Oryzias latipes: one gene and its partner. The protein of the gene in region 1 purifies or fractionates together with the protein of each later gene. This does not show direct contact. Links are inferred from orthologs where the notes say so. Each region holds a gene or a part of one and is shown on either strand. Other genes may lie near its edges. The genes, in order: sost and lrp5.

Region 1 (3,916 bases):
GTAAATGACACACTGAAACCATTAAATATTGTGTTTTTCAAAAGAGGTATCATTTATTGCTTGAAAGAGAGTGAAAGGAAGTAAATTATACAACCCCACTCTGATTATGTTTAACCTAACTTTTTCTTTTTTCTTTTTTACACAAGTTATCTTTATCCAGTTCTGAATTTCTGATATACCAAATTGCAGATCATTAAAAAAACCTTGAGCAATAATAAAATCAAATTACAAAATGATGTACATAATATTGATGTAAGAAGACATTACAGTATTTTAGAAATCACTAGGAGAAATAAGATCAATGTTGGAGAGCAAAGTATTTTTGAATATATACAGTTTTATGGGTCTTTAAAAAAACATTTTTTATTTTAGATTCTTATCGCTGAATGTGGCCTTAACAGTATCCAGGCTTCAGCGACCCTAAAAGGGGTTCAGCGGGTTAAAAAGATGGATGGGTCAGTGGATGTTTGTTCTTCTGGACAAAACGAAATAAGAACAACATCAACATGGGATTCTAACCATAAAAAAGGTTGGTGTTAACCAGATTTCCAGTGTATTACAGAGATTTTTCCGCTCACTTTTTGTTTTTGAACAGAGTATGATTCACTAACATATTAGCATTGTTTGTTTGATAAAATCAGGGAGGATTTTCCATAAACTCTGGCTTTCAAACTGAAGCCTAATTACTTTTCCTGTACTTCATGAACAGGAATTGGACCTGACACTTATGGAGTGGTTCCGAAGAGGGGGATTTCCTGTTGATTGATCCTAATCATTCATTACTAACATTACAAGCTGATTTTTGGCTCATCCTTTTGAGACAGAATTTAATCCATGACATGAATAAACTCAAACTTCCCTTTTTAAAAGTCAGAACTTTAGAACCTTATGATTGATCAAGTTTTGTCCTGGACTGCCTTGCAAAACAGCAGAGTGATGCTAACGAGCCTGAATGTCCTTCCCAAGGCTCTCCCTCAAGAGGGCAGTGTTTGAATGAGATAGCCTCCATCTGTCAGCAGGCATCACATCACAGGGGCGTGAGGGCTGCCAAGCAGCTTTAATTCACAAATTCCAAACAGATATGGAGATATAGAATATCAGATTCTCGTGAAAAGCCTCTGCTAAACTCAGATTTGGTAAACAGACACTTGGTGATGTATTTTCTATTCATGCAGACAGTCCTGATGATGCTGAGAGTCGCTGATGAAGGGTCATTCACACGTCATGAATAATTCATTTGAGTGTGGTCCTTTCCTCAAACATACAGGATCTGATTCCTACACCCCCTTTTCCCTCCCTAGGAAAGATGCCTTCAGAAAGTCGTCATAGTATAGTTGCTGCACCCCCCCCCCCCAACACTTATGTGCGCACTAATTGCGTCACTTGGATTAAGTCAGCTCTCCTCTCTGTCACTCCACCACAACTCTCGTTTCCACTCCTCTCACCTCCTCTTTTCATCTTCTCTGACCTTCATGGTCTCATTCCTTCACTCTTTTTCATGTCTACCTTCCTCTCTCCCCCCATTCACAATGAATCCCTCATCCAGGTTCGACTCCTCCCACTCCGTGTCAGCGCGTAATTGTGCGCTCTGACCGCAAAGTTGGCTTTAAATAGCGCGTCTCGCTTTGGAGAAGGACTCCTCCGTTCCTGCGCGTTCCTGTATTTTTGCTTTTATTTATTTACATTTTTCCCGTCTGCATTTTCTGTAAAAATTTACTCCTGTGTTGAGGTCCATCTGTGCCCCGACAAGCATGCAGGTGTTCGCGGCGCTGCTGCTCTGCAGCTCGGCGCTGCTGCTGCTGCAGGGATGCTGCGCAGCCGCCAAGGGATGGCGGGGAATCAGGAATGATGCTACCGAGCTTTTACCGGACTATGGGCAAAACACGGGCGCGCCGCACGAGGCCATTCTGCACGCAGCCAACAAGAACAACAACAACAGTAACAACACTTTGAATAACAGGGCGAAAAACGGTGGAAGGACTGCAAACACAGTTTCATATAGTAAGTGTCCTTTTAATATTTAAATATTACATCAATTACCTATTTGGGCAAACTTTGTAGAAAAATGTGGTGAAGATAAGCACATGGGTGATTACTAATCCAATCCGCAATTCTAAACAAATATTTTTCCTCTTAAAAGACAGATTTTTAACAAAACACTTTAAAAAACTACTTAAAGAAATTCAACTTTTTTAGTCTATCAAATCTCTAAATAACTGAATAAATATTTTTAAATTGATTGCCAGGATTAGACTCAAGGCTGTCCAGCAGACTGGCTTTTTGTCATTTCCAAATTCAACCTGCTTCCCTTTCAGTATAGGAGCTGATGTGTGTGAGAGTGTGTATTGTTAAATACACTGATGGGGGGGGGGGGGGGGGGGATGATCAGATGCACATTCTTGTGGTTCCTTCCCCAATTCTGTACCCCCCCCCCCCCCCCCCTTCCCAGGTTGTTTCCTTCTGTCTTTATACTATTAGTCAAGCCCTACTTACGCCATAACCATTTGATTGCAACAACATGTTTCCCAAAGCCCTGCAGTTTGCTGTCTTTTTTTTCGGGGGGGGGGGGGGGGGGGGGGTTGTCTTTAGGAGGGTTTTTTAAATAGCTTTTAAAGTACAATCATTTGAGAAGGATTCCCACCTTTGGACAGTATTCCCAGCATGTTATGATTGAGAAGGCCGGATAATGTGATTTAAGATGGGGGGGTGGGGTCATTTTTCCCCCCCTAACAAATAGTATGATTGATTATATTAACAGGAAAACTGATTTCACTAAAGTGAGAGCAATTCTTGAATTTCAAGATGAAAAGATGAGTTGATTTCAACAGGTTGTTGTTTAGGAATATGCAGCACATGTTGGGCTTGGTGGAGAAAAAGCTCTCAGATTATTTCCATCGTGTGGCTTTTGGTCGGGACAGCTCCTCCCTGATCTTTGTGGGGTCACAGCACAGGCTTTGAGACCACAGCCTGGCTTCACTCCAATCCTCTCCCTAGGCTCATCTTTCACTGCCGAGGGGGGTGGGAGAACAAAAATCCACTCACGCAACCGTACATCAGGCCGCCTTTGTTTGAGAGGAGAATAGCAACCGTGCGGTTGGAGAAAGGCGGTGATGTGACAAAACCACCTGACAGGTATTTGTTGCAAAGTGCTGCCAAGGGATCTTTTTTGAAACTGCTCTGGTCCTTGCAGCAGTCGATGGAGAAAAACACCAGATCATATTCTACTGGTTAGAAAAAACCCAACAAAAAACAGGAAAGTCACCTCACATCCATCCTTTGTTCGGGTCTTTATTTTTGGCAAGGAAGGCCACAAAGGAAAACAGATCCCTTTCTGAGTGTGTCATTTCTTAACCAACAATTCCTCCTTTTTATTTTGTGCACACAGCCTGTAAAGAAACACTAGGCAGTGATTCCTGCCTGTTGAAAATGCAGGATTACAAGCTGAGTGTCTCCAATCTGCCGGGCTGATGTCCAAGTTGTGCTGCTCTAAAACAACCAGACTGTCATTTAGTCCTCCGTCACCGCAAACACTTCCTGAGGTCCGGTGCAGGATGCCAGCTTTTTCATCCAAGCCAAACCTCAGTTTGCTTTGATTGGTGTGTTTAATGGCCTTCTGGTCTGGATTTGTTATTTGCTTATTGCTGCCAGTTGCCCTTCTTTATCAAGTAAAAATGATTTGAGTCAAATAGACCTGATTTTGTTTGTTTATTTGTCGATATTTCAGGTCTGGATTTCAGTTGAATGTGTTGGATTTTTTTTTTTTTTTCAGTTGATAGAAATAGAACCGGACAAATGACTGGAAGGAGACCCAGCTGCTGTAAAGAAGCAGTTGACCCACAGATTGATGGTCCCCCTCTGTGTTTCTTTTGGGTTCAGTCCATGTGCATTAACTGCGCTCTCTCCCCCCCCCAGGTGC
Region 2 (3,916 bases), on another chromosome or scaffold:
TGTTGCTGGAGAAGACGAGGTGAGCGATACGCCGAGGTCATCATGGTCCCCATGGTTGGCTTTGGAGGAGGACGAGCAACAGTCTGGACAGACATCACCAGTATTTGGGCCTATCTTTATAATTGCCTTAGTTTTGTGGTAATAAATATGAAATCAATTAAAATGATAGTTTTTCTCATTCATTATTAGTAGTATCAAATGGAAATTTGAAGTATTTCATTAAAATTCAGACCAAATAGAAAAAGCACTCGTGTTAAAAACAAAAGTCCCAACTTGTTATCAGTGTATTTCACATGTGAGAGATAAAACATGCCTCAATGACTCAGAGGAAGGCGCTCCAGAGTTTCACTGAAACAGCCATGTTATGTTTTTTCCTTCACTTCCTGTCCTGTCTCTTTTTTTTACCTCAGTTCTTCCTGTTTTACCCTTCTGAACAGATTTAGTTCTACTTCCACTATTACAGGCTCTGCTTTTCCCTGTGTGTTTCTTCTCCAATTCAAATAGCTGTCTTCCTGCTGCACTCCCAGATTGTCTGACTGCATTACATCAACTCTTCAGCTCTGAATATTTCTACCTGATGTCATGATGCTGAATCTGATTTGACTCTTGGTTTCTCCCTGTCTGCTTCTGGACCTGGAGACTAAATTTCTGTCCACAGGAGCTGCCTCTGCTGCTGCCTCTGGATACTGCTTTCTGGACCTTGGGACTTGCCTATTTTGATAACTGGACATGATTTTTCTTTAACTGTGCGTGCACCAGACACCCCTCCTTGCTACACTATCCCCACCTTCCCTCTTTGGATCCTGCAGATTTCTCCCCCCAATCTCCTCCTTAGTGTAAACTCATCTTTTAGTGTGCACAACCTGTCTGCCACCAACCTGATTCTCCTGTCTTCCACATTGTAGACCATTCATGCCACTTGGAGCCTGTCAACACTTCCTGCACCAGTTATTTCTCTATTCTAGAGTAGATTCCGACTTAATTTCATTCAGAGTGCTGTGTTTTTTTTTTGTTTTTTTACAAAACTGCAGTACTCTCCATCCTTGTGTATGGTTCATGAAATGGCCTCTAAAAAGAATTTGGCAGCATTGTATTCATGATTCTTTTGATTTTATGTTTTAATTTTTTAATTACCGATACGAAGCCCATGATCGAGACGACTGTTGTTCTGAATTTGGGCCATATAAATAAATTGAATTGAATTGCAAAATGAGTCAATGCTTTTATTTTGAAGGGATGACGTCTTAATTTTGATTTTCTTTAAATCCTTTTTAAATCTATGGTTTTCTGGTCAGTGTACTCTGAAACCGAACGATGTTTCTGAGACTGAAGACGTTCAGAGGTTACAGAGCAGCTCCGCGAGGACAAACCGAACCAGATCTTCATGAAGTTCCCCTCGAACTTTGTCCCCACCTCTCCCTGAGACGTCGAGGCTCCGCCCACACCCAACTGCCCTTTCTCTCCGTGCGCGAGCCCGACAGTCCAAAGTGGAAAGTAGCGCGAGCGTAAAACGAAGACGAAGAAAAGTCCCTTTACAGCCCCGGTCACGCGCGCGCACATGTACGCGCTCAGCGGCGGGTCAGAGAAGACTCCCGGGATCGAACATCCGAACATGGAGCGGGAGTCCCGGCTGTGACGGGGATGGGAGGTCTGCTGGCGCCGCGGCTGCTGCTCTGGAGCTGCCTGCTGTCCGCGGGCTCGGGTACGTCGTCGGTCGACGCGTGAACGCGCGGCTCTCCGGTGAAAGTTTCGTGTCTCGGCTGTCGGAGCGCGGCTCCAAACTTTTGGGGGGTGTTCGCCACGGGGCGGGTCGTGCGTGAGATTCGGGCCAGACGATGATCACAAAGACCTGCGGGATTTGAAGGCAGCTGGCTGTTTCTGGGCCTTCATCCCGTCCTGCGCGGTGTCGGGTGTCACGCACGCAGGCTCTGCGCCGTAGAGCTGAACAGAGGGCAGTGTTTGGGTTCTGCCCCCCCCCCCCCCCCCCCCCAGGATGTGGGTCCACAGACCCCCCCCCCCCCCCCCCCCCGTGTCCCGGTGGTGATGGTTCTGACTGCTTCCAGAGCTCCCCTCATTGTCCCCCCCCCCCCCCCCCCCCGCTGCTCTGAAGGCGCCCTCTGACCCCGTGCGTTAGCGTGTGTTAGCGTGTCAGCGCGTGGTTCCACAGGTCCGTGGTGTCTACAGTCTCATCCTCGGGGCTGAGGCTTCTGGTTGTCCTCCTGAAACAGCAGAACTCCTCCTGAGGAACCCTCAGCTCCTGGTTCCTCTTCACTGTTGTGTTCCTGTTGTGCGTTTGCTCAGCCTGTCAGTTGTGTCTTCAGCCTGTCAGCTGCTTCATGGATGATCCACAGACTCAAACAAAGGGGGGCAGCCGAGGAGGACCGCTGTGCCTCAGAAGCCTCTGGCTTAGACGGGTCGGCGGTCTTTGTTCTGGGTGGCGGTGCTCAGAGCGGCAGTGTGATGGAGCAGCAGGTGGATGTTTCTGTGGAAACCTCCGTGTTTCCTCCACGGGCGGACGCCGCCTCGTCCTGTGCCGGGCGGGGATGGGCAGAACCCTGGAAGAGGGCGGCTGGCTTCGTCATTTCTGCTGCTCTGCAGGCTCGGCTTTGTTCATGAGGTGGTGGAGCGGCGGTGAAGCCGGGCTGCAGCTGGATGCTGCCTCTCCACCTCCATAGATGAAGACGGGCGTTTTCTGATCCTCTTCTCGCTGTTTCTGACATTTTTACTAAAATCTGCAGAACCGACGTTACTCAGCGAAGCCGCAGGAAAGCTTCAGGAAAAAGTCCCAAACCATTAGTTTCTGCATAATGTGGTCATCACACATTATGCAGTTATTACCTAAAGGTAATAACTCAAACAATTGAGTACAAGTATGATTATACTTCTGCCTTATTTGTAAAGCATTTATTGTCTTTTTGCAGTGAAAGTACGTCGTATTAGTCATTGAAATGTTTTTTCCCACAGTTCCTCAGGGGACACAGAGGTGTGTGCTGCATCCCTGCTGCATCCCAGAATGCTCACGTTCAAAAGGTCAAACAATAGAGCTGAGTTCAAGATGCATCTATTATGGATAGTTTTAGTGCATTACACCAGGCTTTTCTTCATTGTTTTTCATTAGCAAATGAGTCATTTTCTGAATTTCTGTTTTTGTCTGTGTTCCCTGGTATATGGGGGGGGGGGGGTCCGTGGCAGAGGTCTCCCTCTTGTTTGTACATGAAGGCTCCCTGTTGGTCTGTGTGGAAGCATTCAGTGGGTCAGATGTGCTCACGCTGCACAGCAGAGTTCAGTCCAGTGTTCATGGAGTAACACGCCACTCCAGACGTCGTGGTGCATGACGCCCGTCTGACCACACAAGTCTGTTCTGTGTTTCCCTTCATGTTGTTTAGGGCTGACTCTGCTGCAGGTAGCAGCTCCCTCAGACCCCACAGTGGCGCATCACGCTGCAGCAGGGCTTACCGCCACCATGTCAGCTCAAGTTTGAATGTTCACATCCTATCTGAAGGCCATCATGATTCTATTTTATCTACGTTGTGCGTCTGCAGGACTCCTGCTTCTTCCTTAAGTTAGCTAAACTAGATAGAATGGAGGAGGAGCTTCTGTCATCTGGCTCCTCCCTGATGGAACCAACTCTGCTATGGTTCAGGAGGCAGACACCATCTGTCAGTTTCCCATCCATCCATCCATCCATCCATCCATCCATCCATCCATCCATCCATCCATCCATCCATCCATCCATCCATCCATCCATCCATCCATCATTGACAATTCTAGTGAGCATGCACATAGTTTTTTTTGCAAAGACTTCTGGGAAATTTCCAGGGCACTGGATTTTAGAACTGTAGATTGGTACAGCTCTACAACATGGCGAACGCCCTTTGTACGTAAATGTGGCGAACTGAACGCATTCTTTACTTGA

Evidence for each region.
Region 2: the proteins of sost (region 1) and lrp5 purify together in Homo sapiens (affinity purification with mass spectrometry; 3 studies listed by BioGRID and IntAct, counting the BioPlex papers as one, with this or other methods). This does not show direct contact. The link is inferred for Oryzias latipes from reciprocal best matches to the Homo sapiens genes SOST and LRP5.

Annotation. Positions count from the first base shown.
Region 1 is NC_019877.2:17,915,455-17,919,370, forward strand, and holds the start of sost (sclerostin), read left to right. Parts: upstream 1-1,421; 5' UTR 1,422-1,751; coding exon 1,752-2,001; intron 2,002-3,912; coding exon 3,913-3,916. UniProt on the Homo sapiens protein: Negative regulator of bone growth that acts through inhibition of Wnt signaling and bone formation.
Region 2 is NC_019864.2:5,022,417-5,026,332, reverse strand, and holds the start of lrp5 (low-density lipoprotein receptor-related protein 5), read left to right. Parts: upstream 1-1,450; 5' UTR 1,451-1,641; coding exon 1,642-1,702; intron 1,703-3,916. UniProt on the Homo sapiens protein: Acts as a coreceptor with members of the frizzled family of seven-transmembrane spanning receptors to transduce signal by Wnt proteins.